4 linked regions of the Elephas maximus indicus genome follow. The main gene of each other region encodes a partner of the protein of the gene in region 4 in a complex. Links are inferred from orthologs where the notes say so. Each region holds a gene or a part of one and is shown on either strand. Other genes may lie near its edges. The genes, in order: TFDP1, CCNA2, E2F1 and RB1.

Evidence for each region.
Region 1: the proteins of RB1 (region 4) and TFDP1 are in contact, whole or in part, in a crystal structure (PDB 2AZE), measured with the Homo sapiens proteins. The link is inferred for Elephas maximus indicus from reciprocal best matches to the Homo sapiens genes RB1 and TFDP1. Residues at the interface, in NP_000312.2 of Homo sapiens: Ile835, Ser838, Phe839, Thr841, Ser842, Phe845, Gln846, Ile848, Asn849, Val852, Cys853, Asn854, Ser855, Val858, Leu859, Lys860, Arg861; in NP_009042.1 of Homo sapiens: Gln222, Glu225, Leu226, Gln229, Ile262, Val271, Asp273, Asp288, Asn289, Thr290, Phe291, Glu292, Ile293, His294, Asp295, Glu298, Arg302.
Region 2: the proteins of RB1 (region 4) and CCNA2 are in contact, whole or in part, in a crystal structure (PDB 1H25), measured with the Homo sapiens proteins. The link is inferred for Elephas maximus indicus from reciprocal best matches to the Homo sapiens genes RB1 and CCNA2. Residues at the interface, in NP_000312.2 of Homo sapiens: Pro869, Lys870, Pro871, Leu872, Lys873, Lys874, Leu875, Phe877, Asp878; in NP_001228.2 of Homo sapiens: Met210, Ile213, Leu214, Trp217, Glu220, Glu224, Arg250, Leu253, Gln254, Tyr280, Ile281, Thr282, Asp283, Thr285.
Region 3: the proteins of RB1 (region 4) and E2F1 are in contact, whole or in part, in a crystal structure (PDB 2AZE), measured with the Homo sapiens proteins. The link is inferred for Elephas maximus indicus from reciprocal best matches to the Homo sapiens genes RB1 and E2F1. Residues at the interface, in NP_000312.2 of Homo sapiens: Ser829, Arg830, Ile831, Leu832, Val833, Ser834, Ile835, Phe845, Ile848, Met851, Val852, Asn854, Ser855, Arg857, Val858, Leu859; in NP_005216.1 of Homo sapiens: Ala267, Pro268, Pro269, Glu270, Thr271, Gln272, Leu273, Gln274, Ala275, Val276, Asp277, Ser279, Glu280, Asn281, Phe282.

Annotation. Positions count from the first base shown.
Region 1 is NC_064835.1:74,595,821-74,603,760, forward strand, and holds the start of TFDP1 (transcription factor Dp-1), read left to right. Parts: upstream 1-4,928; 5' UTR 4,929-5,068; intron 5,069-7,220; 5' UTR 7,221-7,284; coding exon 7,285-7,296; intron 7,297-7,940. UniProt on the Homo sapiens protein: Can stimulate E2F-dependent transcription.
Region 2 is NC_064823.1:25,383,553-25,390,730, forward strand, and holds the start of CCNA2 (cyclin-A2), read left to right. Parts: upstream 1-4,168; coding exon 4,169-4,381; intron 4,382-5,056; coding exon 5,057-5,300; intron 5,301-6,596; coding exon 6,597-6,709; intron 6,710-6,847; coding exon 6,848-7,071; intron 7,072-7,178. Other genes in the region: BBS7 (Bardet-Biedl syndrome 7 protein), read left to right, coding at 1,036-1,169. UniProt on the Homo sapiens protein: Cyclin which controls both the G1/S and the G2/M transition phases of the cell cycle. Functions through the formation of specific serine/threonine protein kinase holoenzyme complexes with the cyclin-dependent protein kinases CDK1 or CDK2.
Region 3 is NC_064843.1:35,859,183-35,867,066, forward strand, and holds the start of E2F1 (transcription factor E2F1), read left to right. Parts: upstream 1-4,869; 5' UTR 4,870-5,000; coding exon 5,001-5,261; intron 5,262-7,884. UniProt on the Homo sapiens protein: Transcription activator that binds DNA cooperatively with DP proteins through the E2 recognition site, 5'-TTTC[CG]CGC-3' found in the promoter region of a number of genes whose products are involved in cell cycle regulation or in DNA replication.
Region 4 is NC_064832.1:30,645,450-30,653,411, reverse strand, and holds the start of RB1 (retinoblastoma-associated protein), read left to right. Parts: upstream 1-4,959; 5' UTR 4,960-5,213; coding exon 5,214-5,401; intron 5,402-7,962. UniProt on the Homo sapiens protein: Tumor suppressor that is a key regulator of the G1/S transition of the cell cycle. The hypophosphorylated form binds transcription regulators of the E2F family, preventing transcription of E2F-responsive genes.

The sequences.
Region 1 (7,940 bases), on a different chromosome or scaffold from region 4:
ATACCTTTCAGTTTATGTTGGCCAGAGTTAGTGTCGGTCGTTTGCACCAAACCTCTTGATTGCTCTATCTTCTCACTGATGCCCTCGTCTGAGATCATGTCTTTACTCCAGCATGCTCTCTCTGCCGCCATGTGGTTTATTTACCTAAGACGTGAATATCTTTTCATCAATTAGAAGAAGCTGCTAAGTGTTTCCCAATATCTGTTCTTCACCTTTCTCTTTTCTAGACCTTCAAAGCTTTGGTAGTATCTGGCTGCCCAGAATAATGCCTGTATTTCAAGCATCACTGACTGCCAGGTGTGAATATGGACTAAGTTCTGGCCAATGGGACATAAGCTGATATGAGCTTTTTTCAAGATGTGTTCTTTTCTAAACATGCACACACACAGAGTCATAGCCCATTTCAAATATTACCTCTTTTGTGAAGCCTTCCCTGACCACGTGAAGGGAGAAATGTTCTGGATTCTGTGCTTCCATAGCTTTTTTTCCAGTTGTGAATATAAGCTTGTCTTGTTCTATAACATTTAATTGTATGTGGATCTGTCTCTCCTGTTTGCCTCTAGCAATCCTGTAACTTATTGATCTGTATAAAATCAGCACCCAAGGTAGTGTCTGGCACGTATTAGGAGCTAAAATATGCTTGCCAAATGAGGAAGGCAGGAAAGGTGAAGCTTATGAAATGGTCGTTTGTCTTTTTGTTAAAGAACTACGCTTTTACCTAGTTTTTTCTTAGCTAGAGGAAATCAAGCATCCCCGAAGCTAAGATGACTTATCCAAGGTAACTTGACTTCCCTTGAGCTCAGCTTCATTGTACCAGGGGAACTCTAAGATCCCGTTTGTCTGAGCTCCTATGAATCTGTAAGATAAGTGGACAGGTAGTAGACAAATGGTCAAAGTTATTAAATTGCACATAAAGTCAAATTTCTTAAAATTATGCTGAAAGCTCCTGGTGCTGGGTTCACTGTTGGCTGATGATGGTAAATGAGTTCTATCGAGGAAGGAAATGATGTAAAGAGAACATGGATCTTTAAACCTTAAACTGTAGAACTCCATAGAAGAAACTAATCTTGATATCATCCTAGTCAGAGCAATGTCAAGTTACGAAGAAGGAATGCTTTAGAAGAGCTGTGGAATTAAATGCCAAAGGAATTAAAGGACTTTCATGTATTGCAAAAGCCAGAGGAAAGTTCAGATGCAAAGCGAATGGAAAGCGTCTAGGTTGTAGATAAAACTGGTAAGATAAATTTGGATAAATCAAATTTGTATATGTTAGATGCTATGATCCTGGAGAATTTGTCCGTGACAATTTTCCAAGGACTGTGGCTTCAGGCTGTCAATCGCTGTAAAAGTCTTTAAGACACAAGAATTATTAAGAGCATAATCACGTGATAGGGTCAAGGACTGATAGACTAAAACTTTCAAGAAGGAGTTCTTTGGATTTTACTGGGAATTTTAAAAAGGGGAAATGAGGTAGCAAAGATTGCGAGAAAAATAAAAATGTCTTCATATGTTAGGTGACGGGGTGGTGCTTAGAAGTGATGATCTGGTTGGGGAGAAGGGCTAGGGGATTTACCTTGAAGTTCAGCAAACACACTGATTCATCATATTTTATGAGGCATCTAAACAACCACAGATGCTTTTATTTATATTTTACCAAAGAATGAGAAAATGTCACCTGTCCTTCCTCATAAGCTCCATGAACTCCTGCCCCCTTCCCTGTCTTCCCTCAGTATCACTATTGCTCTGGTGATCCAAGAAGGATGAAAAACTGAGGAAACGGCTGAAGAAAAGACCAACATGATTTAATATGGAAACCAAAGATAAATTTTGTATTTAGCAAGCAAATTTAGAATTAAAACATTTCAAAGGATTGGAACATGTTCTTTCTCTTTAAAGGGCAGTTTAATGGTGTGGGAAGGAGAGAAGGATTTGCATCAGGTCCTAAGATTCAACAGGGTAGAGATCTCTCAGACACGAAAGTGTGAGATTTTGGGAGATGAGGATTTTACCTGGAAAGAACCAAATGACTTTCTTTTAACAAAACACAGAACAGAACTGTTTCCATGTAGTATTCTGGTTCATAATGACAAATCTTATACATACAAAACAATATCTGGCCCCAGTAATATAGGGCTGAACACCAACTACTGTGTTATGCATCAAGTCAATACTGAATGAAGGCATCATAGAAAGAATTAAGTTTACTAAACAATGTGAAGTAGTAGATAAATACAGGGCATTACAGGCTTATTAGAGTAGATAAACCCAGGGTTTTATGGGCTTATTGCACCTGGGTGGTGCACCTGGTTAACATGCTCTGCTGCTAACTGAAAGGTTGGAAGTTCGAGTCCACCCAGAGATGCCTCGAAAGAAAGGCCTGGCGATCTACTTCTGAAAAATCAGCCATTTGAAAACCCTACGGAGCACAGTTCTGCTCTAGCACACACAGGGTTGACATGAGTTGGAGTTGACTCAACTGCAACTTTTTTTTTTTTTTTGGTGGTGGGGGAGCTTTAATAAAAAGATTGCATTTCAGCAATTTGATCCAAAGTTTTCAAGCCAAGGCAGTGGCTAAAAAAATTTGGATTTTCAATGCAAAATTTTAGAGTTCTGTTACCATTTGTTAACACAGAAATAGGAGCTTTCTGTGGGGTAAAGAACTTTTTGCCCTTTCCCCAAACAAACCAGAGCCCCAATGAGCTTTCAGCAAGTAGGTACCCCCTGCAAGTTCAGAATATTTCCCTACAGTGATTTTTGTGCAGAAATCAATTCGAGTAATATTAGAGGTGGGATCCCTGGGTGGTACAAAAGGTTAACTGTGCTCGACTTCTAACAGAAAGGTTGAAAGTTCTAGTTCACCCAGAGGCATCTTGGAAGAAAGGCTTGACAGTCAGTTCCAAAAAATAACCCAGTGAAAATCCTATGGGAGCCCTGGTGGCACAGTGGTTAAGAGCCCGGCTGCTAACCAAGAGGTTAGCAGTTGGAATCCAGCAACTGCTCTTTGGAAACCCTATGGGGCAGTTCTACTCTGTCCTATAGGGTCTCTATGGGTCAGAATTGACTCAGTGGCAGCGGATTTGGGTTTTTTTTTCGGTTTTGAAAACCCTGTGGAGCATAGTTCTACTCTGACACACATGGGGTCGTCACGTGCTGGAATTGACTCCATGGCAACTACCACCACCATCCTCTGTAAACATTGTTGAATTACCTGAATCACGAATTTGTAGGGAAGGGGTTTCAGATCCCATACTATGAGTTTCATTTTTTCCTTCTTAATTCCAACTCCCTAGGTCTCCCGGGGAGGTTTCCTGGTGCGGTGGCTACAGCTACACTTGGGTCCAAGAGGTTGGGAAAGGGGACTTACCACTGCTAACTAAGCTGGAATATTCAAATTTAGTAAAAAATATTTTTTTTGTGAAAGTCAAGAAATGGAGCTAGGAAAATATGACTATTTGTAGGATATAATGGAGGAATATCGGTTCTGAAATCATGGGAACCTGGTAATGGGTGAAGAGTTGTATGAATCTTAACAGCAAAGAATAAGGTCTTTCTCCAGATAGTAATTTGTAGGACTTTCCCTCTTAGTAAGGGCCCCAGGTGGTGCAGTAGCTAAAAGGGCTCAGCTGCTACTGAAAGGTGGGCAGTTAAAATCCACCAGCTCCACTCCACCGGAGGGGGATGTGGCAGTCCGCTTCTGGGAAGATTTACAGCCTTCAAAACTCTATCGGGCAGTTCTAATCTGTCCAGTATGGTGAGTCAGAATGGACTCAACGGCAATGGGTTTTTGGTTTTCCCTCTTAGAGTCTTTTATTCAACTTCTCCTTCAATGTTTCTTTAAATACTCATTGTGTGCTCATCTGTAAGCAGAATATGAAGATTCCGTTATTAGCTTGTCTTCAAAGAAGAAAAAAAAAAACAAAACACCCTTGTCGTCGAGTCGATTTCGACTCATAGCGACCCTATAGGACAGAGTAGAACTGCCCCTTTACAAGGGAGCAACTGGTGGATTCAAACTACTGACCTTTTTTCCAAGCCTTGGGTCTTAACCACTGCACCACCAGGAGAATCCAATGTTAATTAAATTGCTAACAGTTTAAGTGAAAAGAGATTTAAGGGGTCAGTGCATTACTAGAAAAGCAGAAGTGGATGTAATCAGCATAAAAGTGGCTAAATTGTGAAACCATGCTAAGTGCGGGTGTAATGTAATAGTAGTAATGTAATAATAATATGTTGCACATACAGAGGGCCTTTGGTCTGTGCACCTCAAAGTACTTTGCAAACGTTAATTATGCATCGCACTAGGAGGCAGAGAGGGAGGGCCTGGTAGGGCTTGGGCATTGCTGCCTAATCCAGCACTGAACTTTGGACTCCAGACTCTAGATGCGCCCGCCAGTCAACCCTCTGATGCGTTTCTACAGCCGTCTGTGGTTGAATCCACCCACTGCTTTAGCAGTGGTGGGATCGAGGTTGTGATTAAATCTCCAGGAATAAGGGTCCAGCACGCCAAACTAGTGATGAGGCCGCTCCTGCAGTCAGATCAAACTGGGCTGCCCAGTTTTCCCTCCTGAACTCACTTCCGGGATACCTCCCCAGCTGGCACCGAGGATGCACGGAATTGCTTGGAATTTGGGTGAAGGTTGGGCGTGGGCGTGGAGAGGCGCGGTGGCTGAGCCGGGTGTCTGCCGGCTCCTCGCTGGGCCAGACGTGCCGTCCTCAGCCGGGAGCGCACGCCGGGGTAGGCAGCAGCTTCCGCGCCGCGCGCCCGCCTGCCCGCCAGCGGCCACACACGCTCGCCGCGGGCCTCCCTCTCTCCCTCCCTCCTCCGCACACACACACTGAGCCCCTCTCCCGGCGCCAGGCGGGGGCGGAGCAGAACTGGCGGGAGGAGGCAAGGAGGGAGGGAGGGAGCCAAAGGCGCGAAAACGGCGCGCAGGCGCGCCGCGCTCCCCGAGGCGGAGCGCGCGGGGGTGAAACTGACACTTTGGGCCAGTCTCTATGGGGCCGCTCGTGGCCGCACGTCACCGCGCTGCCGGCACGTCACGCCGGCTCGACGCTCCCGGTACAAAGTGTAAGTTTCAATTTTTTTCCCGGTGCCGCCGCTCCGGGGGCCACGGAGGAGCGGGAGCGGAGTGGGGACGCAGGGCTGTCTGGCCAGCGCGGCCGGGCCTTCCCATCCCCGCCATCCTCGCGTGAGTGCGGGGCTGGGGCGGCGGGGCCCTGAGCCTCGGCGCCCAGCATCTCCGCCCCCAGCCCCGCGCGCGGGCGCGGACCGGGCGAGCCAGGTGCGGGGCGCCGGCCACCCTGGCGCTGCAGGCGGCGGGCGGGTGCGCGCGGGCCGAGGGCGGCCGGGGCTGCGGGAGGGGGAGAGGATGCCCTGGGGCGGGAACCCCGGGAGGATGGAGATGGGGGAGGGCGCGGAGCCACCGGCGCCGCGGGAGGATGGAGCTGGGGGATGGGGCCCAGGGCAGGGCGAGCAGCTGGTCCTGGAGGGAGGGGGCACCGGGCGGTGCGCGGGCCCCTGGCCCGAGAGGCGGCTCTGGGGCGGGCCGGGGTCGGGGCCGGCCACGGGGCGCGGGGGGCGGGCCAACGGCGGCGAGGGGGCAGCCCGGGGCGGACTGGTCCCCGGCGGTCCGGCCCCTCGGCCCTGCCCCCGCCTCGCCTGCGTGTGGGCGCCGCGCGCACTGCTCGGTGTCTCCTTGGGGCTCTTTCCTGGTGTGCTCTGTGTGCGCTGCACATGTGCAGTCGGTAAACCTTCCCCCACCCCGCACCCCCCACGCCGCCGCCGCGCCTCATTGTAGCCGCTGCAGTTGGTGGGCTGCGGGGCTGGCCGCCGCCGTTCGGTGGGTGGGGGGGGTGGGCGGCCGGGGGAGGAAGGCGCTCTCCAGGTGACTTGACCTCGGCTGTAGGATGTGGGATGGGGGGTTGGCGCGGGTGGGGAGCAGGACGCGATTGGGCGGGAGTGGGCCCGACCGAGGAGGGCGGGCAGTGGGGCTCTTGCGGGACTCTGCTAGCTGTCTGGGCGGGCGAGGTGGGGGCTCGGGACGGGTGCAGGGGGGTCCCCGGGTGGGGGCAGGCGGGGCGGCAGGGCCGGAGCTAGGCCCTCCAGGCCCCGGATAAGCATCGTCGCGCGCCCCTCGGCCACCCGGGGGCGCGGGGCAACGGGGAGGGGGTCGGTGGGCGCCTGTTGCCGGGCGGTGCACCCGGCGGTGGCGGGCGGCAGGGCTGCACAGCTGCCGCCGGCTCCGTCCCGGGCCCGAGCGCGCCGCCCGCGCTCCCGGCCCCGGCGGCCGGATCCGCTCCGGCCTGCAGCGAGCGCCTTCGGGAGGGAACGGGGAGGGGCTGACCCTTCCACCGACCTGGTCCTTTAGGGAGCTCCGAGCCGAGGACTGCCGGTTCCGGTGGCGGGCGGGGGAAGGGAGATTCCTCTCGGTGGAGGTGGCTCCTGAGGCCTAGTGACAGGTCAGAGAAAGCCCGGACCCGGACGGGCTGGGGGCGTGGGGGTTGGGATGGGGGACTGAGAGCAGTTCCCTGGACCCTGGGACTGCTTGGGGTGACTCTGGAAGCCCACCTGTCAGAGTTACCAGTCTACCCTCTGGCTTGGGTCAGCGAGCTGGAAACTGACCAGGGTGGGGGAAGTCCCTCTAAGAGTTCTTTTGGGATGGCTTTCCCTGCGCGCCGGTATGTCTGTGCTAGGACAGAAGGGAGAGTTATACTCCTGTTAGATGGATGTGTGGGGTCGTGCATGTATGTGTGTGCCTGGGTGGGTCACTGTGGGGGTGGTATATTGATCCCGTAGAGATGTGAATGAGCCGAATGGGACCATTCGTGTAGTTATGCCATGGATTATGCTTTAGAAACAGAAAGGTAGCACAGGCAGATATGTAAAGGGGATTATCTTTGGGTGATTTGGGGAGAAAGTTGGGGTGTTGTAGCAATGATTTTAGGTCATGGAGTTCCTATGTCTTGGTTGTTTATGGGCTTGTTTGCCAATTTAAAATATATTTTCACCTGCTGCAATGAATTTTAAAATCCTAAGTATAGGAGTTGTTTTTGCCAGTTCCACTTTTGAGTAAGTGTGTACATTTGGGAAGGAAGGTTCTTGTTACCTGGAAGGCCAGTTGGGGTGGTGGTGGGGGGGGGTGGGGAACGTTTCTCTTAAGATGTGACATATTATTAACTTTCTTTATTCTTACTCATTTTTTCTTTTCCCTTCTTTTCAGAAAAATCATTGTTTCTTCTCTGGAGGGTGAACGTTTATAAAATTGACTTCACGGATCTGGTAACATGGCAAAAGATGTAAGTGTATTAGCTTCGTGTTACAAACCTTTCCTTAGCTTTTAATAGCGAGAAATTACGAAGCACTGAATTCTTTGCAGTTTTCTCACTTTATTTCGGAATGACAACACATAAACCATAGTACTGTTTATTTTTTTAAGCTTCTAAAGCACATGAAACAGGATGAAAGTGAAAAAAGATCAAAGAATCTAATAGCCTCCATGGAGATGTGTGACTTGCTCTTTCTACGTTGTGTTTTTTGTAACCTTGGATGCCTGTTGATAAATGCTTATGGTGTTTAAATGGTACCAATTTTACTTAATCTTTTCGGGCCTTTAAAATTTATGATTTTGAATAGCTTTGTTAAAAGCCATTCCATAATTAAAAGAGATTGTGAATGCACCATTCAGAGCGTGTGGTGGGGCTCAGCAGTTGCTGGATCTGGACCCGTTTTCTGATGCCCAGCAGAGAAGGGCCCCATCTACTGAGGACCACCTTCCACACAGGAGGTCTGGAGATTACTTGCTTTCTTAGTTATCTAGTGCTGCTATAATAGAAATAACCACAAGTGTGTGGCTTTAACAAACAGAAACTTATTTTTCTCACGGCTTAGGAGGCTAGAAGTCCGAATTCAGAGTACTGGCTCTAGGGAAAGACTTTCTTTC
Region 2 (7,178 bases), on a different chromosome or scaffold from region 4:
GGAGGCTAAAAGTCCAAATCAAGACCTCAGCCATAGGGATTCCTTCCTTATAGGTAATCCCTAGCCTTCCTTGGTCTTGGCTTATAGGTGGCCCTCACTGGTGTCTGTCTGGCTTCCTACCACCGCCCCCCCCCACCATGTGCACACATCTGTGTCTAATCTACTCTTTTTAAAACTCAGCTGTGATTAGGTTTAGGATACACTCTACATTGATGTGGTTTCATTAACATACAAGGAACCCTATTTTCAAACAGGATTACATCCACCGGGCATAAAGGGTTAGGATGACAACAGGTATTTTGGGTAGACACGATTCAATCTATAACACACTTAGTGTGATTATTCACCCATATATTTTGGTGTAGAAATATCATGTTTTGTTACCAGATGCTGCCATTTGCTCATAATACTTTGGGGGTATTTTGTTATATATGGTATATGTCTTCTGTTATCTTCCTAAAATATGAAAAATTCTGAAACACATCTGGCATCAAGGGTTTTGGATATATAATTGACAGCTCGAATTATTACCATTTCACATGTGAGGAAACTCAAAGGTGAAATAATTTGCCCAGACCTTTGAACCCTAAAACTATTTATTTGCCTTCTAGTCAAATCCCAAGAATAGTCAACACAGAAATGGAATGTCTTAATTTAGATAAAGCTATTAAGAACAGAATCTGCCTACACTATTTCAAAATGGTCTTCTTAGTGGGAAAAATAAACCACTTTCATGATGTTATATATACTAGTATCAGTTCAGAAATAGCATTTGATTGTCTGAAATTAATATCTTTTAACCAGTTGTTAAAGATGTTTATTAGCTAATTAGCTAATTTATGTCCTGAAACTGGCCTTAAAATTCCCCCAAAATACATATATTTTTATAAGCATCGAACCTTCTAAAAAGGTTTGTGTATATTAAATAATGAAATTACAGGTACTTAGAAATGGATTCTCAAGCACTTACTTTCATTAAATTGTTTCATTAAAAGGAACTAATTGATGACAGTAAATTCACGTTGTTCTTTCTAGGCATGATCACTGATCTTTTCATAGATAAGTTCAAATTCAAAGGCACCAATGTGAAAACCAAAGTACCTCTTCTTCTGGAGATTCTGGACAGTTATGACCAAAATGCATTGATTGCTTTCTTTGATGCTGCTTGAAATATAATCAAGGTAAAGTCCCAAAGAAGTGGTCTGTTTAAAAGGAAAATACTAACATAGAATTATAAACTAAATGTATATACTTTTATTTCAAATGCTTTTTGATGACATCTAAAAATATTTCAGATATGACTTTAAATAATGCTTCTATTTGCTTTGATGGTAGAACTTTTTAAAAATAAAGAGAATTTTTATATTTAAAACAAGTGGATGACCGTTTTGATCAGGGTCACAATAGATGGTCCCAGCTAGAATGGGAGAAAAATGTGGAGCAGAACTCAAATTCTTATTTTAAAAAAAGCCAGACAAACTGGAACAGTGGAGAGCAGAGGACTCCCTGAGATTATCACCCTGAGACACTCTTTAAACCTAGAACAGAGCCTATCCCGAGATCACCCTTTAGTGAAATAGCAGAGTGGCACACAAAGGATATTACATAAGATTGCTGCTCTACTTAAAAACCATCAGAATGAGATTAAAAGGTCAACAATTACACAAAACTAAGACGGGAAGATAAGGGGCCAGGGAAACTAGAGTACTGGAAATAGAACAAACAGAACACAAAGAATATTAGCGTTATGATAAATGTAACTAATGTCACTGAACAATTTGTGCGGAAATTATCAAAATGGGAACCTAACTTGCTGTATAAACTTTCACTGAAACTCAAGTATTAAAAAAAAAAAAAAAGTGGAGTAAGTACAAGGGATTTTAATGCATTTTTAGTAATTAGATGTTTTGATTTTTAAATAGAGAAATATTTGGAAAATCAAAATATATTCAAATGTTTTACAAGCTACCAAAACCAAAAACCACTTTCATTGCCGTCAAGTCCATTCCGACTCATAGCGACCCTATAGGACAGAGTAGAACTGCCCCATAACGTTTCCAAGGAGCACCTGGTGGATTCGAACTGCCAACCTTTTGGTTAGCAGCCATAGCTCTTAACCACTACACCACCAGGGTTTCCTTACTAGCCACCCACCCACCCACCCACCCACACCCACCCACACCCACACACATACATTTATGTGTAAACTGCTTTACAGTTTTCAGAATGCATTTGCGTACCTTACCTCATATCATCTTCGCATCAGTCCTGTAAGTTTGTCAAAGCTTGTAAGAAAACCAATTGTTGGTGAGGTTAAGTGACATGAGGTTAAGAGGACATGCTATTAATTTGTAAAGCTGGGACCAGAACCCAGTTTCTGGCACCTGCTTTGTGTCCCAATTACAATGTATGTTGTCAACAAGCGGAAATAAACTACCAGTTATTTTTTGTAGGAGCTGAGATTGCTTTATAGTGATTTCTGTCTTGTTCGGTAACATTTTGTGACCCATGCTGCAGCTTGTAAAATGCCTTAGTTGTCTCAGTGCTGTAAATTTCGGTCAGGGAAATGAGCAGCTTACACAGATGAGAGAGATCTTAACTACAAGTGCTGTGAGCAGTCAAGCTATACAAGTTGCAACACAGGAGGAGTGCAAAAATAGTGATAGCTTCTTGGATTTTCCTGCACTAGTATCACTAGTTTCCTTTTTATCCTATATGAAACGAAAATATTTTAAGAACACAGTTTTTTTGTTCATTAATCTTAATGTAAATTTATTCATTTTCAGGGGAATATTGTCAATATGAGTTGGAATTGATGGCAATGAGTTTGGTTTTATTTTATTTAACAGTCTGCTTTAAAAGGACAGATTATAATGGTAAAAAGGCTATTTTTCTGTTTTCAAGAAGTGTAGACTCATGAATTTGTCAGAAAACAATGCTTCTGAATTACATACCATTATATTTATTAGTTATGTGGAAGTCTTGTATATTAAATATGAGAATTTGTTAAAGGCACATATTATAGCTAAGACAGTTTTGTTTTAGTAAGGCCATTGTTTTTATTAAACAGTTTTCATTTCTAAATGGAACATCCAGGTCACTAGAATTTCATTGTTTTTTTGTTGGCTGCTTCTATATAAAAGGCTACTGGTTGGGGAAAAGTGTATAAGCATTAATGACTGTCCAGTCGAATTTCTTGTAGTACATTATTACTTGTTATATGTATCAGTAGTTCAAGACGGCACAGTAAATTGTATTTTCTTGGAAAAAATAAAAAGCATAAGACACAGTTCTGCCTACTGTGAATAAACACCGCGTCCTAACATGACATTATATCCTGCCACTTGAGTATTACTATGTGCACAGTGTTACATAATTTATGCACAGTATTTCATTTAATCCTAACGACAGTCCTATGCCGTGTAGGTATTACTTCCAATAAACACATAAGAAAACTGAGACTGGAGACATTTAATAATTTGACCAAGATTACCTGGCCAGTAAGTGGCCAAGTCAAATCTTGAACCTCGGGAAACAAGTCAGCCACGTTAACTGGAGGTCCCAGGGCTAAAGGCTGGGACGGCCCCCTAGTAATTGCTACAGTTTAACTCAGTTAATTTTAGAATGCATATAGACAGCCTTTAGCCTTGCGCACAGAGACCTCCCAGTGGTGCGGTTTAAAGTCATCAGAAACTCAGGTCTCCCCCGCTCCCGCCTTCACCGCGCAGGCGTTTTTCCTCCCGCGGCGGTTCGACGTTTCTCCGCTCCACCCCTGCTCAGTTGCCATCACTGCCGCCTGCGCTGACTGCGACTTTGTCGCCCTAGTGACGTCACGGGCCTCTGCGGCTCTCATTGGTCCATTTCAATAGTCGCGGGATACTTGAACTGCATGAACAGCCGCCGCTCCGGCGGGCTGTTCGCTTTATCTCGGGGCGTTCTAGGTCCTTGGTACTCCACGCCCGACAGTGCCTGCCTGCTCCTTTCGCAGCCTCCTCCGCCCCGCACAGCCCCTGCCAGGTGAGCGGGCAGGTGGGCAGGCTGGCCCCGACTGCGGCGAGCGGCGGCAGCTACAGCATTCCTCGGCTGAGTCTGCGCGCGGGTCAGCGGGGCGGAGTGCACGCTGCTTGGCGCCGGAGGCTGATCCCGCCGCCTGCCCCGGGGAGCAGTGATGTTGGGCAACTCTGCACCAGGGCCTGCGGCCCACGAGGCGGGCTCGGCGCTGCTAACACTACAGCAGACGGCCCTCCGAGAGGACCAGGAGAACATCGACCCCGAAAAAGCGGAGCCCGCCCAGCAGCCCCGGACTCGAGCCGGGCTGGCGGTACTCAAGGCGGGGAACCCACGGGGTCCAGCGCCGCAGCAGAGACCCAAGACGCGACGGGTAAGGAAGGACACGCGAGGTATCTGTCGGAGGGTGGGCCAGGCGAGGGTCGAGCATGGGCTTAGCAGGCAGAAGAGGGTGACGAGTAAGCATTCTTTGGGTATTTTAGGAGGGCGCGAGTCTGGAGTCCCCTTGGTCACAGATTTTCCGCTTTGTGGGATGCCACGGTGGTAGATTCTCTCATTCATTTTAGCATATGACCCCCGCCAACACTGCATGTGCTACTTATCTCCTATCTATTGGGGTCATCTTTGTAGATTTTGGGGTCAGACCAAGCCCTACAACGCGAATGTCGTCATTGCCCAGCTCATGCTTTCGCTTGTCTTTTAACCCCAGGCATTACTCTGCTCCGGGGCGAAGCAACCAGGTCTCTCCTTCCCCTCCCCATCTGGTTAAGAGAATGCTTCTACTTTAGAAAAGGGTACAAGAAAATACTTTTGGTAAATCCCGCCATTTTAGCCGGATTTGCTGTTTGCTCCACCCTAGTGTCAACTCTGCCTGTGACAAATTTTTACATCCCTTCTCTCTTTGACTACTCAAACTATTCTTGCCTGGACTTTTCCCTAGTTTAATTTTCCTGGTAGATATTTGAGAGTGAAAGCACAAGCTGAGATCCTTAAGGGGAAAAAGGCAAAGCTCCATTTAACAGGCTCAAAGACAGTTCTTTCTTTCTAGGTTGCACCTCTTAAGGATATTCCTGTAAATGATGAGCGTGTCACTGTTGCTCCATGGAAGGCAAACAGTAAACAGCCTGCATTCACCATTCATGTGGATGAAGAAGAAGAAAAGACTCAGAAGAGACCAGCTGAATCTAAAAAATCGGCGTGTGAAGATGCCCTGGCTTTTAACTCAGCTGTTACTTTACCTGGAACAAGAAAACCGCTGGGGTCTCTCGATTATCCAATGGATGGTAGTTTCGGTAAGTTTTAAAGAGATCTGTATGAATCAAGGTAGTATAATTATTAAATAGACTAGATTTTATATTTTAAAACATTATCTTACCTGATCATTACTACATAGTTAGCTTTAATGTAACAGGCTTAGAAATGGTGTGACTTGTCCCAAATATCACACCAAATACATGACCTAGTGACCTACAAAAGGACCCAAGTCCTAATCAGGTGTTCCTTCCAGTACGCTACCAATCAGTTTAATTACATTTCAGTCACATAGTCTGACCCTGGAAATGTTTGCTTGGTTGGGAGAATAGATTTCAGTTGCAGTCATAAGAAACCAAAAAAAAAAAAAACCAAACCCACTGCCGTCAAGTCGATTTCTGACTCTTAGCGACCCTATAGGACAGAGAAGAACTGTCCCATAGAGTTTCCAAGGAGTGGATTGCCTCCCATGGAGCTTCCAAGGAAGGCATGGTGGATTCAAACTGCCTACCTCTTGGTTAGCAGCTGTAGTACTTAACTACTACGCCACCAGGGCAGTGACTCGATTCATACGTACCACTTGAGAGAGTGCTGTGTGAGAGTGCAGTCTTAAATACTGTGTTGTCTGACATCTTTTCCAGCTCTGAAATTTTGTGTTGCTGTAACACCAGTCTGAGTAATCATCAGATACCAGAAAGGCACATTGTCTTCTTGTGTGTCAGTAGTTGTACCATGCCTGTTTGCACTTACCCACATACAAAATGGAGTAGCTTCATCAGACAGCTCTGTCTACAGTTTGTAGTGTTTCTTTTCTGCAGGGTTATTGAGTTACTGGATAGGTCATTGAATATAATCTCATTTTAGTTGTGGTTCTATTGATTAGGGAAGGGAGTGGGAAGTCCTTTGGAAATAATCTGTGTATTTTTATTTAAGATTTGTAACAATTTCTTACCTCAGAATGATCCTTGAAGTTGAAAAGAGTAATGGATGATATTCTTTGCCTCAAAAGATAATTTGAATTACAAAAAAAATCAATCATTTGTTGATTGTCATGTTAATCCACCTGTTTGAAGTACCCATAACAATCCTAATTTCCTTATTAACACACTTGTTAATGAACGCCATTTAGTCTTGCTTCTAGTTATTACCTTATCGTACTTTGAATATATCAGATTCAGGTTAGCAATCTCTTTTGGCAAATCCATGTACTTTTGTCATGAGAAGCCCTTTTACTTGGATGAAATGTTTTGGTAACATAGCATTCTTGACAAGGGCAGTCACTTTTAGCTATTAAATAGAAGATTAAACAATTAATCATATCTTTTGAATTCCTCCAGAGTCACCACATACTATGGACATATCAGTTGTATTAGAAGATGAAAAACCAGTGAATGTTAACGAAGTACCAGACTATCATGAAGACATTCACACATACCTTAGGGAGATGGAGGTAAAAGCTCTCTTGAGTGCAGTCGTATACTGTTAATCACTGCATGTGGCTAAATGAAATGGAGAGGTTAATTAGTGTTTTAACTGCTAGTGAACTACTGTAAGGTATATTTAACAGTATACTAACTTTTCTCAACAGGTTAAATGTAAGCCTAAAGTGGGTTATATGAAGAAACAACCAGACATCACTAACAGTATGAGGGCTATCCTTGTGGACTGGTTAGTTGAAGTAGGAGAAGAATATAAACTACAGAATGAGACCCTGTATTTGGCTGTGAACTACATTGATAGGTTCCTTTCATCGATGTCCGTATTGAGAGGAAAACTTCAGCTTGTGGGCACTGCTGCTATGCTCCTAGCCTCGTAAGTCCATTTTGGTTTTTTGGAATAAAAGTGATGGCTACCTCTCTGCGTAGGGAAAAAATGTGATTTTTAACAGTGTGGCATTCTGACATACTACACGAGTCAGA
Region 3 (7,884 bases), on a different chromosome or scaffold from region 4:
GATTTCTCCCAGTTATGCACTCCTTGTAATCATGGAATATTCATGTTTGGAGTTTTTTTTTCTTTTTTTTGAGCTAAAAGTGTATGTTTTGGGGGGCATGTCATGTACGTGGAATAAATGGCTCAAAATTATGTCACTTGTCAAACTTCTTAATGGCGCATATTATGGAGGTACATAGAAATAATTTTGACTTTCCCTGGACTGTGAGCTCCAGGTGTCAGAGATAAGTCTATTTTGCTTACAGCTATCTCCCAGGACCTAGCACAATGTCTGTCTTATGGGTTGAATTGTTTCCCCCGCAAAATGTTTGTCAACTTGGCTAGGCCATGATTCCCAGTATTGTATGATTGTCCACCATTTTGTCATCTGATGTAATTTTCCTATGCCTTGTAAATCCTAACCTCTATGATGTTAATGAGACAGGATTAGAGGCAGTTATGTTAATGAGGCAGGATGCAATCTACCAAAAAAGAAAAACATTGCTCCTCGATTCCAACTCATAGCAACCCTACAGGGGTCAGTAGAACTGCCCCCATAGAGTTTCCAGGGAGTGCCTGGTGGATTTGAACTGCCAGCCTTTTGGTTAGCAGCTGCAGCACTTAACCACTACACCACCAGGGTTTCCACACAATCTATAGGATTAGGTTTTATCTTGAGTCAGTCTCTTCCGAGATGTAAAAGAAGCGAGGAGAGAGGATAGGGAGCAGAGAGGATAGGGGCCTCATGCCACCAAGAAAGAAGTGCCGGGAGTGGAGCGTGTCCTTTGGACCTAGGGCCCATGCTGTGAGAGGCTGCTAGACCAGGGGAAGATTGATGATAAGGACCTTCCCCCAGAACCGACAGAGAAAACCTACCCCTGAAGCTGACACCCTGAATTCAGACTTCTAGCTTCCTAGACTGTGAGAGAATAAATTTCTGTTTGTTACAGCCATCCACTTGTGGTATTTATTTCTGTTATAGCAGCACTAGATAACTAAGACAGTCTGACACAGAGTGGGTATACAATAAGTATCTGTGGGTTGAATGAGCAAGGCTCAGAATTCTCTTGTCAAAAGGTCACACAGACCAAGATTCCCACTGACATCCGCCTGATTTAGAAGCCCTTGCATTCACCTCCATACCATCCTGCCTCTTGTGTGTAGGAAAGAACCAAGGGAAAGTTGTCTCCAGGTGGAGAATTATGAGTCCAAAGCATCCACTCCTTTGGACTCCTCTAGATTGAAGGATTGGTAGACGCAGTGATGGGGGTAAGCATCCACTAACTAAACCACCAAACCATGTTGCCTTCAAGGCGATTCTCACTCATGGCAACCCCGTGTGTTACAGAGTAGAACTGCTCCACAGGGTCTTTATAGAAGCAGATCACCAGGCCTTTCTCCCATAGTACTACTGAGTGGGTTCGAAACACCAACTTTTAGGTTAGTAGTCGAGTGCAAACAGTTCACATCACCCAGGGACCTAACAAAGACACTGTCCACCGTAATGCCTCTTCACTGGCACACATTATAATCTTGCCAGCCCTGAGCCTGGCTCTCCAAGTATTTTCAGAGGGTAGCAGAGTATGAAGGGCAGATGTTGGGTTTTCCAGTAAAACAGGCTAGGTTCCCATCTCAGTTCTGCTGTGACTGTGAACTGTGATTGCCCCTCTCTGAGCCACCTTCCTTCTGCACAATGTGGATAAACAAGCTTCACTTATGGGATTATTGAGTTGAAAGGAGATCATAATGGAAGTGTCTTCTCAGTAATCATGGATTTCTTGGAAGGTTAGTAGCCTGAGGAGAACTGCTGACATTGGGAACAGCCTTATCGGGATCCACCAGACTCTGAGCCAAGGGGCCCCATCTGTCAGGACTTTTCTGCTTTGAAGCGGGTGTTAATAAATATAGAAAGCCTTATCTCTTTGATTTCACACTGAGAAATCTGGCCTTTGCTTGGCCTTTTGTTCCCAGCCCTGGGCTGCTGCAGCAGGACAAGAGAGACTGCAGTGGGAAGGAAGGCACCTACTTCTACCTGGGTGGTTGATGAACACCTGGACAGGGGCAGGACCTTTGGGAGGAGGGCAGGCCTTTGGGAAAAACGTGGCCTTGGCCTCACCAAGCCTGTATAAATGGCGTTTTCATCTACTAGGTAAGCCTATTCCCTCTGGACCTTGGTTTTCTCCTAGTAAAATGGGGCAAAACCAGCAATGCCTTCCCTTTCCATCAGCCAGCAAGGTGCTTGGCACTTGACAGGTGCTCAGTCAGTTTGTTTGTTGAATGAATATTGAGTATGAGAGGACTTTACAAAAGTCAGATATTATTACTGTAACCGGGATCATTTGGGAAAATGTGGGGAAAGGAAACTATGTGGAACGGGAATGTTCCTGGCTCTCTCAACTCCTGTCAGGACCTGCGATGGTTATTTAGAAGAGACCTAACCCTCAGCTTCTCTGTCCGGGGAGAAAGGGGGAACAGGCAGACCCCAGGGCTGGGACTCCAGTGTAGGCCAGATTCTATCCCTGGCTGGCTTCATGGGACCCTGCGCCTGAATAAGCCTCAGTTGTCCCACCTCTGTGGGCTCTTCCAGCTCTGACACATTCTAGGATTTTTGATAAGTAATTTCACAAATTGTTCATGAGAGAAGGGAAGACACTTCTGCTGTTTTCCCAAAGCACCTCACAATCTATAAAACACTTTCAGATCCTTTGTGCTTTTCATTCTCTTAGCAACCCCAGAAGAGCTGGGGCAAAGTCTATGTGCTCATTTTACAGACGAGGACACTGAGGCCCAGAAGATTTCTCAAAGGGGGATAATCTGAGGCCGCCTCACACATTTTAGTTATACAGTTACATCAATTTGTTCTCCAATGTCATCATGCATAAAAATTACCTGGAAAGGCATGGGAGTGGATGCTTGTTTAAAAATATAGATTCATGGGCACCTAGAGATTCTAAAATGGCTGGGTTGCAGTAGGGCCCAAAGCTAACAAGAGCCCCAGCTGGTTCTGAAGCCTAATGACCACTCTTGGAATACCAGGACCTACTTGTTGCATTCTGGCAGTCTCCAACATCAGCCTGTTTCTTTCATAACCCTCCTCAGCTCAGCAGCTGCTCTAGGCCAGGCCATTATGGGGAGGGGGCACTGTTGAAGCTCCCAGGGTGGTAGGGAAGGCAGATGGAGAAGCTGAGTGGTGTGGTCAGTGCTGGAACAGAGGCAGCCTAGGGCAATACAGGAAGTGAGTAACTTCAACTCTGGAGGGCCCCCTGGAGGAAGTGATACTTTAGACTAAGTGGAGGGATCTTGTTTGTGTCCTAAAAACAAACAAAAAGAGAACCCTGGCTGTCAAGTCAATTCCAAGTCACAGCAACCCTACAGGACAGAGTAGAACTGCCCCACAGGGTTTCCAAGGAGCTCCTGGTGGATTCGAACTGCTGACCTTTTGGTTAGCAGCCAAACTCTTAAGCACTGCACCATCAGGGCTCCTAGCTACTTTTTCTCTTGTGGGTGACCCCCATCAGACTGCAGGCAAGTTCATAGCAATTATCAAGTTTTTCACATCTCTATCCTCAGTACTGTCACAAGACCTGGCACAGAGGAGAGGGTGGTCTTGGTCAAACCTGCTGATCTGAGCAAGGAGAAACCGTTGGTGGAGATGGGTCAGGGTCTCAGGATTAAACGCAGTTTCATGTTCAGTACTCCCACTTCCATCCTTTGCTGAGGTCTAAGAAGTTGGAGTTTTGCCTTCCACATGGGATTCCCAGCCAATGCACTTTGTGTGCAGCCACCCTCCTGTCAGTGGAGGCTTGAGTATTGCTATGACACTGAACAGTTTTCAGCAGAGCTTCCAGACTAAGGCTGACTAGGAAGAAAGGCCTAGGAATCTACTTCCAAAAATCAGCCAATGAAAACCTATGGATTACAACAGTCTGATCCCCAATAGAACATGGGGCTGGCACAGGACCCTGCAGTTTCCCAATTCAATGGCAGGTAACACCGGTGGAATTACTTTAGTATTGGAAACTCCATATTGTATTGTAAACTCTTGTTATCTCTCTGTTCCCCTCCTCCCGGAGTCAAAGTCTGAACTAAAGATGGACACAGAGCAGGCTCTCAAAACATCTGTTGAATAAATGAATGTTTGAGCCTGTCGTTATGGGTCGGAATCGACCCGACGGCACTGGGTTTTTTGAGTCCAAGCAAAAGCTGTGAGTTGGCTACTGCAGGGCTGTCCAGCTAAGACGAGGCCACCGGAGAAGCCCCAGGAAAGCCCCAGACCTATATTAGGCCAGACATCCCTTCCCATTTCCTGGCAGCCCCCTTCTGCTGGGCGTCTGGCTGGGTAAGGGACAGGGGAGGGGCAGGATTTGAGAGTAAATGGCATAGGTGGGGCAAGTTGAGGAGATGTAGCTGGGGCTTAGAAGGTAGGCCTGAGGATTCAGAAAACAGAAGACAGTTTCTGGAAATCTGGGCTGAGGGTCTGGAGGTCATGTGGGGGCTGCAGGCGGACGATGTGGTTCAGCACGTGACGGCTTTAGAATGGAGACTCTGCCCTAAATGTCTTCATTATGGTGGGGTCACCAGGATGGGGTGTGTCGGGACGGGGTGGGGGCGGGGCCACCACGCCTCGACCAGGGGCTGTCTGGCCTGGGGGCGGGGAGTGTGAACAAGCCTGGCACCGCCCCGACAAAGCCTGCGCGCGCCCCGTACTGCGATTGGCTGTTCCGCACCGCACCGCCTCCTCGTCCCGCCCCCCACCGCCGGTCCGGCGCACAGCAGCCAATGGGTGCCACCGTCACCGCCTCCGTCACAGCCCAGGTAGCCAATGGTGGCGATGTTCTGCGGCTCGTGGCTCTTTCGCGGCAAAAAGGATTTGGCGCGTAAAAGTGGCCGGGACTTTGCAGGCAGCGGCGGCCGGGGGCGGAGCGGGATCCGGAGCGGGATCGAGCCCTCGCCGCGGCCCGCCGCCATGGGTCCGCGCCGCCGCCGCCGCCTGCCACCCGGGCCGCGCGGGCCGTGAACGCCATGGCCGTGGCCGGGGCCCCCGCGGGCGGCCCATGCGCGCCGGCGCTGGAGGCCCTGCTCGGGGCGGGCGCGCTGCGGCTGCTTGACTCCTCGCAGATCGTCATCATCTCCACGGCGCAGGACGCCAGCGCCCCGCCGGCCCCCGCCGGCCCCTCCGCTCCCGCCGCCGGCCCCCGCGATGCCGACCTGCTGCTCTTCGCCACGCCACAGGCGCCCCGGCCCACACCCAGCGCCCCGCGCCCCTCGCTCGGCCGCCCGCCGGTACGGACCCCAGGGACACCCGGCCAAGCGCCCTGCCTGTACCCCCCGCGCAGACCCGGGCGGGGCGCAGTGTTTGGCCAGGAGGCAGCGGGGGCCGGGGGAGGGGTGGACTGAGGCGCCCGCGCTGGGCGGTGCAGAGCCTGGGTTGGGCCTCCGGGCCCCGCCCCGGGCTGCTGGGTGACCTCGGGCCAGTCCTTGTATGCTGCTTTAGGCTCTGGGCCTCCGCTTCCTCACCATAGCCGCTCGGGTCAGCCACCGGGTCAGAATCAGTGATAATAATGGCCCACGTGGTTTCAACTAGCGCTTTGGCTGAGCCCTTGACCGACTTCAAGCCAGCCAAAACTCACAACCACGGTGTGAGCTCGGTGTTGTCACTGTGTCCATCTGACGGAGAAGGAACTGAGGCCCAGAGAGGGGAAGGGACTTGCCTCTGGTCATAGGTGGGGCTGGAGTTTGAACCGAGGCCTGCTGGCTCCAGACCAGAATCTGTGGCTATGTAGGGGTGGGGATGGAGGTGGAGGTGGTCCTTGGGGCTGGACTGTTGGGACGCCATTGAGGACACCATCCTTCCTGCCTCCATGCTCCACTGCCAGGTGCAGGCCTGGCCCTCCAGGCCCCTGGGGACAGGCCGCCTGGCTGGGAGGCCTTCTCTGCAGGGGTGGGGCAAGACGCCTAGGCCAGCTGCTGATCCCCTCCCTCTGCCTGTCCTTCCATCTGCCACCCTCCACCCTCTCAGGCCCTGGTTGCCATAGAACCTCATTAATCAGGCAGGCCCCTGTGGAAGAACTGAGTGGGCTGGGCCTCTGGGAGCTGGGGGGAGACCCCCAGTGCCAGGGGAGAGAAAACCTCTCAGGGAGATAATCTGATAAAGGCCTCTCTGAGCAACAAGAGGTGGAAGGATCAGTTCAGACTGGGGGCCCAGAGAGGGTGTCTGAATTACAGTGGGAGAAGGGAGTGGAGGCCTGGAGCTTGAACCTATGTGCTGCAGGGCAGGGCGTGTAGACCAGTTTGACTGGCGCAGCCTGTGGGTGAAGGTGGGGTGCAGGCAGACGGGGGCTGGCCAGGAAGGCTGGGGTCTGGCGAGGGGCTCAGAGCAAGCAGGAGGGGTGAGACAGGGTCTGGGACAAGGAGGTGGAAGCTGCCCAACTGCCATTAGGGGCGTGGGTGGCAGCTGGTCCCTGAGGCATCCCGGGAAAAGCCTCCCCCAGCCCCCTTGGCCCCATGCCCAGTGCTGCCTTCCTTCCGGAATCACCAAGATGCTAATAATAATAACAATAGCAGCCACCATTGTTTTGAGAATGTTTTGTGTGCAGGGCTCTGTGCCAAGCCCTTTACCCAAATTAATCCATTTAACCCTCTCAACAACCTTCCCCTTTTACAGATGGGGAAATTGAGGCACAGAGATGTGACAGCCTTCCCCAGACAGGATCAGCTAGTGAGTGGTGGGATGATGAGCCCAGCAGTTCAAGCTGGGATGCCTTGGAAATGCTAATAGAGGTTGAATGAAGCCTGGGGAAGTAATAGGGACCTATGGGCCTGTGAATGAGTGGGAGGGGTGCGTGTGGGCTGGGGTGGATCAGCCTTGCTTGCCTCCTACCCTCCAATGAAATGACGTGTCTGTCAGAGTACCAGCTTGAGGCTTGGGCAAGTGGTCTCCATTTAGCTGACTGACGAGCACTTAGCAGGTGCAGGGGTACAGAGACAGCAGAGGCTGAGGGCTCCAGGCCCAGAGGAACTGTTAGGGACTGGGAGGAGGAAAAATGACACACACATACACACATAGGCACAAGCACCCTGCCACAACCATCAGGGGCAGCCTCAGGGGCCCTGAGCATTCCATTCATTCAACAGCTGGTGAGTTAGTGAGCATCCGTGAGATGCTAGGCACAGAAGCAGGTAAAGAGTCCCTGCCCCACAGTGCTTATGGCCCAGTGGGCATTTTTGTGCTGGGGCGGGGCTGGCACCATCCCGGAGCCAAATCTGCAAACAGGCCCAGCTGTTGCCCTCCAACATCCCCAACTCTTACACCTGTGGGTAGCCCTGGGCACAGGTTCCCACCTACCCTTTGCACATTTGTTTGGGGCAGTCCCTGAATCAAGCTACAGGCTCAGCTTTTGCGCCAGTGAGCATTTATTGAGTACCAACTGCATACAAGGCTCTGCACAATTCAGCCATTCCCCCGGCCCTTCTTATCCACCCCCACCCTGTTGTGCCTTTTTTTTTTTTTTCCATTACAAATATATGCTTATTGTAGAAAACATAGGAGAATAGAAAGTTGAAGGGGGCAGGATCCCACTCCTATTCACTAAAAGTAATTTTTTTTTTTCTCCTTAAGCCTGTTCTTGCTTTTTATGTAGTTATGAGAGCTTTTGTTTCCTAAAACTTTAAAATTTCACTTTTTTCCCTTTGTTTCCTCGCTCAAGCGTCATATCATTCACACTGTACAGATAAGGCCAACATCCCTCAGTCACCCATGCAGAAGTGGCGATGCAGTGGTGTATAATAGTCGAAACTGAACCAGAGGAAAACAGTTTGGTAGTTTTTTAATTCACAAAGGATTATATAAATATATGATGCTATGACGATGTTTGTGCTTGCCCATGTCTGAGAGGATTCTGGGTCC
Region 4 (7,962 bases):
TAAAAATTAATTTTCAACAAATAATTGGAAGAACTGTAACACAGGATACAAGGAAAAAATATAAAAACTGCACATTGTTCACCGGAAGTGTGCATCTAGGTGATTACCATAGAGAATCGCTATTACACCCCTCATTTTTTGTCATTCCACAGCCATAACAAAGAAACAAGAATTTGTTTTTGTTGTTGATTTGTGACTTAGGAGACCCCATGTGTTACAGAGTAGAACTGCTTCATAGGGTTTTCTTGGCTGCAATCTTTAAGGAAGCAGATTACCAGGCCTGTTTCTTCTGTGGTGGTGCTCCAGGTGGGTTCAAAATGCCAACGTTTTGGTTACTGGCCAACTGGAAACTATCTGTGCCATGCAGGGACCTTTCTAAACAAGAAGTTGGGAGAGAAGTAGCAATTTCCCATACTAACTGCTATACAGTGTTTGTACGTCAATATTTAAAGTTTTTAACATGACAAATGAGTGTGCTTCTTGCTTGTTAAATTACCTAATCTAGGTTTAGATATATCTAGCAGTATATCTAAACTGCTTCTATGTTTTATTCTGATAACACTCAAGTAGAGAAGCCAGTCTCTCAAAGGCATGTTGAAGGGAGTGGAATAAGAGATTTTAAGGCAATTTCAGCAAGTTCAGGACATTCATTTTTAATTTCTATCCAAAATGAAACAAGAGATGCTTTATTTTCAAAATTCATCTCCAGTCCTTCATCAGTAGTGAGTTCCAAAAATTTGCCCTGTAAAGTTACAGTTACATTTAAATTCTGGATCCATGAATTTCCTGTGTGTGGTGATTACTTTGATGGAGAATCAAAATCAAAATGTTTTATCATATTTATGATAATATTTTCTTTATATTTTGTATGTAAATGTCCCTTAAGTTTGATGGATTCATTGCTTCATTAATCAGTCCATGGTTTTAGTACTTAACCAAAAGTTATGGCTACAGACTGAACAGACAGGGGATTATATTTCTGAGTAAAATTAATATAAACTCTTAGCTCTAATTCTTTGGAATGACTTCTCTGATCATTATTTGGTTTACTACTGGTAGTATTAATCCACTAGTGACATCTGTCTTTTCTTGACAAAACAGGCCAATGAGGCTTGTTTCATCATCTACGATTTAGGGTTAAAAATAAATGACACAAATTTTACTTCCCTAATTTAGCTATATATAAATAAAAAAAAGAGGCTTGATTAAAAATTAAAATGACTATAAAAACAACTTATAAAAATGAATAAATATTTACATCTTCATGGATTTTTAACACTTTGGATTACAATTGACAAGCTAACCTTAAAATTTTACTCATCGTAAATGTGGTCCTACTATGCATGACAAGGACACAGCCCTACCACCTGCAACTCACCACATAAATTGGAGAACACCTGAACTGGACTATACTCTTGCTTAGCTATATGCTTAGCAACAGATGTCCAATGATCATGTTCTTGGATGTTGCTGACATGTCAAATTGTCATAAACATTTCTAAGCACTCTTAATTTCTGTATTTATCATCATCTTGTGCAGTAAGGAGCCCTGGTAGCACAGTGGTTAAGAGCTACAGTTGCAAATCAAAAGGTTGACAGTACGAATCCACCAGGTGCTCCTTGGAAACCCTATGGGGCAGTTCTACTCTGTCCTATGGGGTTGCTGTCCATTCAACCAGTTCCTATCCCTTTCTGCCTTCTCATCCTGCCTTCCAACAGGAGCTGCCCATTTAGTCCCATGTATCTACTTGAACTAAGAAGTAAAACTCTTTGAGTATTATTTTATGTTTTATAGTCCGGTCTAATTTTTGTCTGAAGAGTTGGCTTCAAGAATGGTTTTAGTTCAGGGTTAACAGAGAAGTCCAGGGGCCATGGCTTCGGGGGTTCCTCTAGTCTCAGTCAGACCATTAAGTCTGGTCTTTTTATGTGAATCTGAGTTCTACATCTCCTTTTCTCCTGCTCCGTCAGGGACTCTCCATTGTGTTCCCTGTCAGGGCAGTCACTGATGGCAACCAGGCACCATCTAATTCTTCTGATCTAAGGCTGATAAAATCTCTGGTTTATGTGGCCCTTTTGTCCCTTGGGCTAACATTTTCCTTGTACCTTTGGCGTTCTTCATTCTCCTTTGCTCCAGGTGGGTTGGGACCAAATGATGCATCTTAGATGGCTGCTAGCAAGCTTTTAAGATGCCACTCACCGAAGTGGGATGCAGAACATTTTCTTAATAAATTTTGTTATGCCAATTGACCAAGATGTCCCCAGAAACCATGGATCCAGGCCCCTGCCCCTGCTACTCCGTCACTTGAGAAAACTTCTTTTAATAATCTATAGAACCTCTAACACTTCTTTGTAGTACAACAGAAAGCTGTGTAATGATTTTATTTACTCAAGTACTTCTGAGTTGTGTGTGAGGAAATCATATCTTAAAGCTACTCAGAAACATGGTAAAAGGAGTCCAAGGCAAAGATACACATCCTTTTGTAAATGGAGAAACCTCTCTTTGACTTATTATAATTGTGGTAAATCCAGATGTTGATGTAAACTGGGTTTAAATAGAGCAAGTCTACATATGTGGGGAGAGTTTACTTCAGTTCCCAGAACTTCCTTCAGTTCTCCTACCTATGCTCTCCACTCTCATTTTTAACAAATAAGTATCTACTGTGTGTCCAATACTGTGCTCAGTACTAAGGCTACAAAAATGCCTGAGATTTGGTCTCTATCCTGAAGTAATTCACAGCAGAAATATTATCAGTCATGATGCTTTCTGCTGCAAACAATCATGCAATTCAGCTCCAGGGTGTTCAAATCAGAAGCTAAGTTATGTCACCAAGGACCCAGATTATTTTCTTTTGATATTCCTACTGCCCTGTCCCCAGCATTTTTGCCTTATCCTCCGGTCTGCTGCATAGGTCACAATGGCTACAGCAACTACAAGTGTCATATCCTTATGACAACAGCTAAGGAGTAGAAGAGCTGTCATCTCTGTATCCCATTTTATCAGCCTTCCAGAATATTATCACCTTTCATCTTTAAAAGGTCAAACTGTATCCTGATCTGCTGCCTAAACTAGTTGTGGGCAAGATGAATGGGACTACCATTTTAATTGTATTCACTCTCAGTGGCCTGGGCCCTACCTCCTGACAAAGTCTTGGCCCCCAAGGTAGGATCCGGGGGGACTGTGTGTTGGGTAGGCCAATGCTTGCTAACCTTTTTTACATTGTGGCACATGTCATGGTCTACACAGAAAATGATAATCCATTGCACTACTCACTGGGATAAACTCACGAGACTTGCATCTATGACTTACCTGAAGGCTCCTGCTGCCTCACATGCTGCCCAGCTTTCCAAGAATGAGGGAATGTACATCAGAGCACAACTATACTTTATTCAAAGTACTTCAGTTGGGAAGTTCTGAGATGGGCAATCAAAAGTATCTGCCAAAGGAAGAAAAACATGTGCTAAAACTAGAAAATCAATTATAATAAATCAATACCAGGAGACAGAAAAGATACAGCTTCTAAGCCAATGTTTGGCGGCGATACCTCCAGAAAGCTTTTCTTCTGTTGATTTTGTGCCTGTACACATGCTATTTCTCTCTTTTTGGTGTTTTCTTCACCAGTATAATGTAACAGATAAGTCATAGCAAAATTACCTAGGTTCAAGTCCTCTGCTCATCAGATCTGTGATATTGGGAAAATTAATTAAGTCCTCTGAGCCTCATCTGAAAAGTGAATAATACTATCCATTTTAAAAGGTTGTTTCTGAAGATTAAATGAGATAATTATGTAAAGTGGCCAGCACATTTCCTGGGATCCAGCAAGTCTTCCTTAAATTTTAGATCAAGCTGGCAAACTTCTATTCAACTGCTACTTCTCCTCTGAAGATCTCTTTTACACATTTCAATGGTTCCTCCTGACTTTACACCACCATTAAGACTCAAAAAAATTAATTAAAAATAGACATTTTACTTTAAGAAATTTCTCTTACCCACACACACACCCGCAAGTATAAAAATACTTGACCCAAAACTGATCTTGCCTGCAGCTTCACTGGCTTGTTCTTTCACCCCAACTTCAACTTTGCAGCATGGTTAAACTTGTTTATCCCCCCAGCTAGAAGACAGCAGTCAATAAGAAATCAATCACCTTGTGATTTAATGAAAAAGACTGTGTGCTTCCTTGATTTTAATTTCAAGAGCTCTCAACTATAAATATGTAAGTTAACTCAGTAATCATTATTTCATCACAGTGGAAACTTGTATTTATCAAACAAAAATTTTTAAGTCTCTGTGAAATCTCCATTCTCTGGGAGTTTCTTCTTGCAGGAAGAGAATGTTCTCCCAATTTGAAAATTGTTTGTTAAATCATAGACCAATCAAATATTGTTATTCTTTTGAATTGATACAAAATCTTATTTTTAACGTTTATAAACAGTTTATAAACTGTTTACTTGTTCATTACCCACAGCCCCCTCCCTACCCTAACCAGTGATCCCCAAAAGGCCAATAATTGTCCTACATTTTGTTTCCCCCAGTGCTTGGTAAACTGGAGCACCGATTAGGTGTTCCAGAAACGTTTGCTAAAGGGATAATCGGCGGTGTTTTTGTTTTGGTAGACTGGCTTAACGGATTGGGTGGGCGAGGTCTCAGAAGAGGGAGGGTACCGCCCATGGAGAGAGGAGGCGTGACAGTGTAGGGTGCGCTTGCCTGATAGAACTTACAGGACCTGAGTGACAGTCCCTGATCAGACCCAAAGACAGAGATGACAGAGATGGGGCCCAATTTTGCCCCACAGACTCTTTTTGTTGCCCTATTACGGGCACCTCAGCCTGGAAGGAGAGCTACAGGTAGAAACAGGTCCCAGCAGCGGCGGCTACCTCAGGGAGGGCGCCTCCGCCAGGCCTGGTCTCCCGGCCAGCCCCGCTCGTCCCTGCGCCCCCGCCCGCGCGCTGCCAGGCGCCCCGGTGCCCGCCAGACGCCGGCTGGCCCGGGAGCCTCGCGGACGTGACGCCGCGGGCGGAAGTGACGTTTTCCCGCGGTTGGACGCGGCGCTCGGTTGCCGGGCGGGGAGGGCTTGTCCGGTTTTTCTCAGGGGACCTTCAAATTATTTTTGTAACGGGAGTCGAGAGAGGACGGGGCGTGCCCCGACGTGTGCGCGCGTCCCCCGGCCCTGCCCTCCTCCACAGCTCGCTGGCTCCTACCCTGTGAGGGCGTCATGCCGCCCAAAACTCCCCGAAGAGCGGCCGCTGCCGCCGCTGCCGCTGCCGCTGCCGCTGCGGCTGCGGCTGCGGCTGCTGCTGCGGCTGCCGCCGCCTCTGTGGAACCCCCGGCGCCGCCGCCACCGCCCCCTCTCCAGGAGGATCCGGAGCACGACAGTGGCTCCGAGGACCTACCTCTGGCCAGGTGAGTGAGCAGAGCCGCCCCCGCAGAGCGAACGCAGGAAGGGAGCCGAGGGGGCTTCGGGACCGGCGCCGCGGCATCTAGGCGGGGGCGCGTCTTTGCCCCGGATCCCGGTCCCGGCGAAAGAGGGTCCCTCCTTGCCCCCCACCACCGCGGAGGGTCTGGAGGAGGGTGACAGGGCTCCGGGATCCGGAGCGAGGGGAGGACAGCCAGGAGGGGTCGCGGCTCCAGGTTGACAGGTGTTGGGCGGGTGGGGCTCGGTTGGCTGAGCGAAGTGACAGGTGCTAGATCGGAGGCTGGAGGCGGCGGGTCATTTCGAGCTCCCATCAAATGCAAAAAATGACTGACGCGCGTGTGTTGAAGAGGAAGCGAGTTTTGTTCTTGTTAAATTGGTAGTACTCCCGTGCTCTTTGGCTTTCTGTTTGGTCTTCTGCGACGCAAGAGTTCCAAGTGTTCGCTTCTGGGTGTGCACTGCATCCAAAGCCCCATGCTGCGAGAGGCCGACCAGAAACGCCTTGGACGCCGCTGCAGGAGACGCCATCGGACCTTAGCGCAGGGTCCTGGGTGCCGGTTGTCCACAGGGTGCTTTGAGGCCTTGGGGTTCAAAGCCAGCTGTAGTAACTGGCGAAACAGAATGCTTTAGAGGAACTGGGCAAGTTTTGTGAGGCAATTTAGTGTAAGTGCCTAAAAGTTTCTAAACTTCTTTTTTTTCCTTTTGGATAAAACTCCTTGCAGGTTAGTCTGCCTCAGCATGTGCCATTATTTCTTCCATTTTGTTTTTTGACTTTACAATCAGGGATCTTGGTGACGCTTGTTTCTTTGTTTTGTTCTGTTTGTTTTTGGTAAAAAATTGGCGATGCTCTTGTGCTAACATCGAACTTTTTTTTTCCCCCCCTAAGTGAAATCTAAATTTAAGCAAGCCGTGTGGATGCGGTAGAATATGACAAAGAGCTATTTGTTGGATTGCAACATTTTATTTTTCTGGATTGTGATACTTTACGGTTAACTAGCTAAGACTGAAAAGTGCATATTTGTCCTTATTCCTTATTGTCAGCACTGGTTCTCTTTCAGGCTCTTTGTATACAGATCCATCGTAGGGGAATGGGACTGCTTTCTTCCCTCACCATTCCTTCTTCCATTCTGGTCCATCACCAAGTTCTGTTTTACCCTCACTGAATTGTACATATCTTTCCACTTCCCAGCCACTAACAGAGTTCAGGCCAAATTGTAAAAGATTGAAATGACCTGTGGAAGGATATTAAAAATTCATATATTTGAATGAACTGTCATATGGGTTAACTGAAAATCATACCTACTAGTTTAAAAAAAAATCCTTGGGTGGTGCAAACGGTTAATGGCTTGGCTGCTAATCGGATGATTTACTTGCAAAAAATTAGCTGATGAAAATGCTATGGAGCACAGGTCTACTCAGACACACATGCAGTTGCCATGAGTCAGGAAATCGACTTAACAGCTTAGTAAAAAACAAAACAAAAAACAGGCCTGGGGGATGTTTTGGAAGAAGACATCACACTTTAGTTTTTGATTAAACTCTAATGTGCCCAATACCTGAAAACTATTCTTTGGCAAGAGCAGTAGTATTTACTTTAAAAAATTCAGTGTTATCCATATAACTTTGAAAGCATTCTTGATTATTTTGTGATAATTAGAAATATTGAAGTTCTGACCATCACCTGGGAAAAGAAGAAATTTGTTTCTTTCATTCTTTTTTCCCCAACACATTATTTTATATACCTTTAAGTGATGGAATGATAAAAAATTCTTTGGGAACTCAAACCCTTGTACTTCAAAGCCATGCAAAATACAGTCTGCCTTTGATTATCCGTACTCACAATGGATTCCTTAGCATCTTCAATCAGACTCTACAGATTAACAATTTAGCAAGGGTAGGACCACAGCCTGGCAATCTGAGGCTGAGTAACCTGAGGCTGAGTAACCTGCTTAGGGATGGATTCAGGGCTCAGCTCTAACTGCATTCCCAGCAAGAACCATTTCTGCCCAGAGAGTTGAGATCACATTCTGTTGCATTTATCTCTGGCCTAAATGATGTGGTGGAAACCCTGGTGGCCTAGTGATTAAATGCTACAGCTGCTAACCAAAAGTTTGGCAGTTTGAATCCACCAGGCGCTCCTTGGAAACTCTATGGGGCAGTTCTACTCTGTCCTATAGGGTCGCTATGAGTTGGAATCGACTCGATGGCAAAGGGTTTTTAAATGATGAGGCTGGAAGGGAAACTGTCACTAGGAACAGCATACCACCTTCATTGTTGAGGTTATCAGATGTTAATTATGTTTTGAAAAAGGAGCTGGCAGTATAGAGTAGTGGTCAAGAGCGTGGATTATGGAGTTAGACTGTTGGGTTCATATCCTGGCTTACCACTTAGTACTGGCAGTGAGCTCAGGTGAATGCTTTAACTTCTCTGATTTCGTTTATTCTTCGGTAAAACAAGGATGATAAGGGTCCTTACATGGTAAGGCTGATGTGGAAATTCAGTGAAACCATGACATTTAAGGACTTTCTACAGGGTCATAGTAAATACAGGT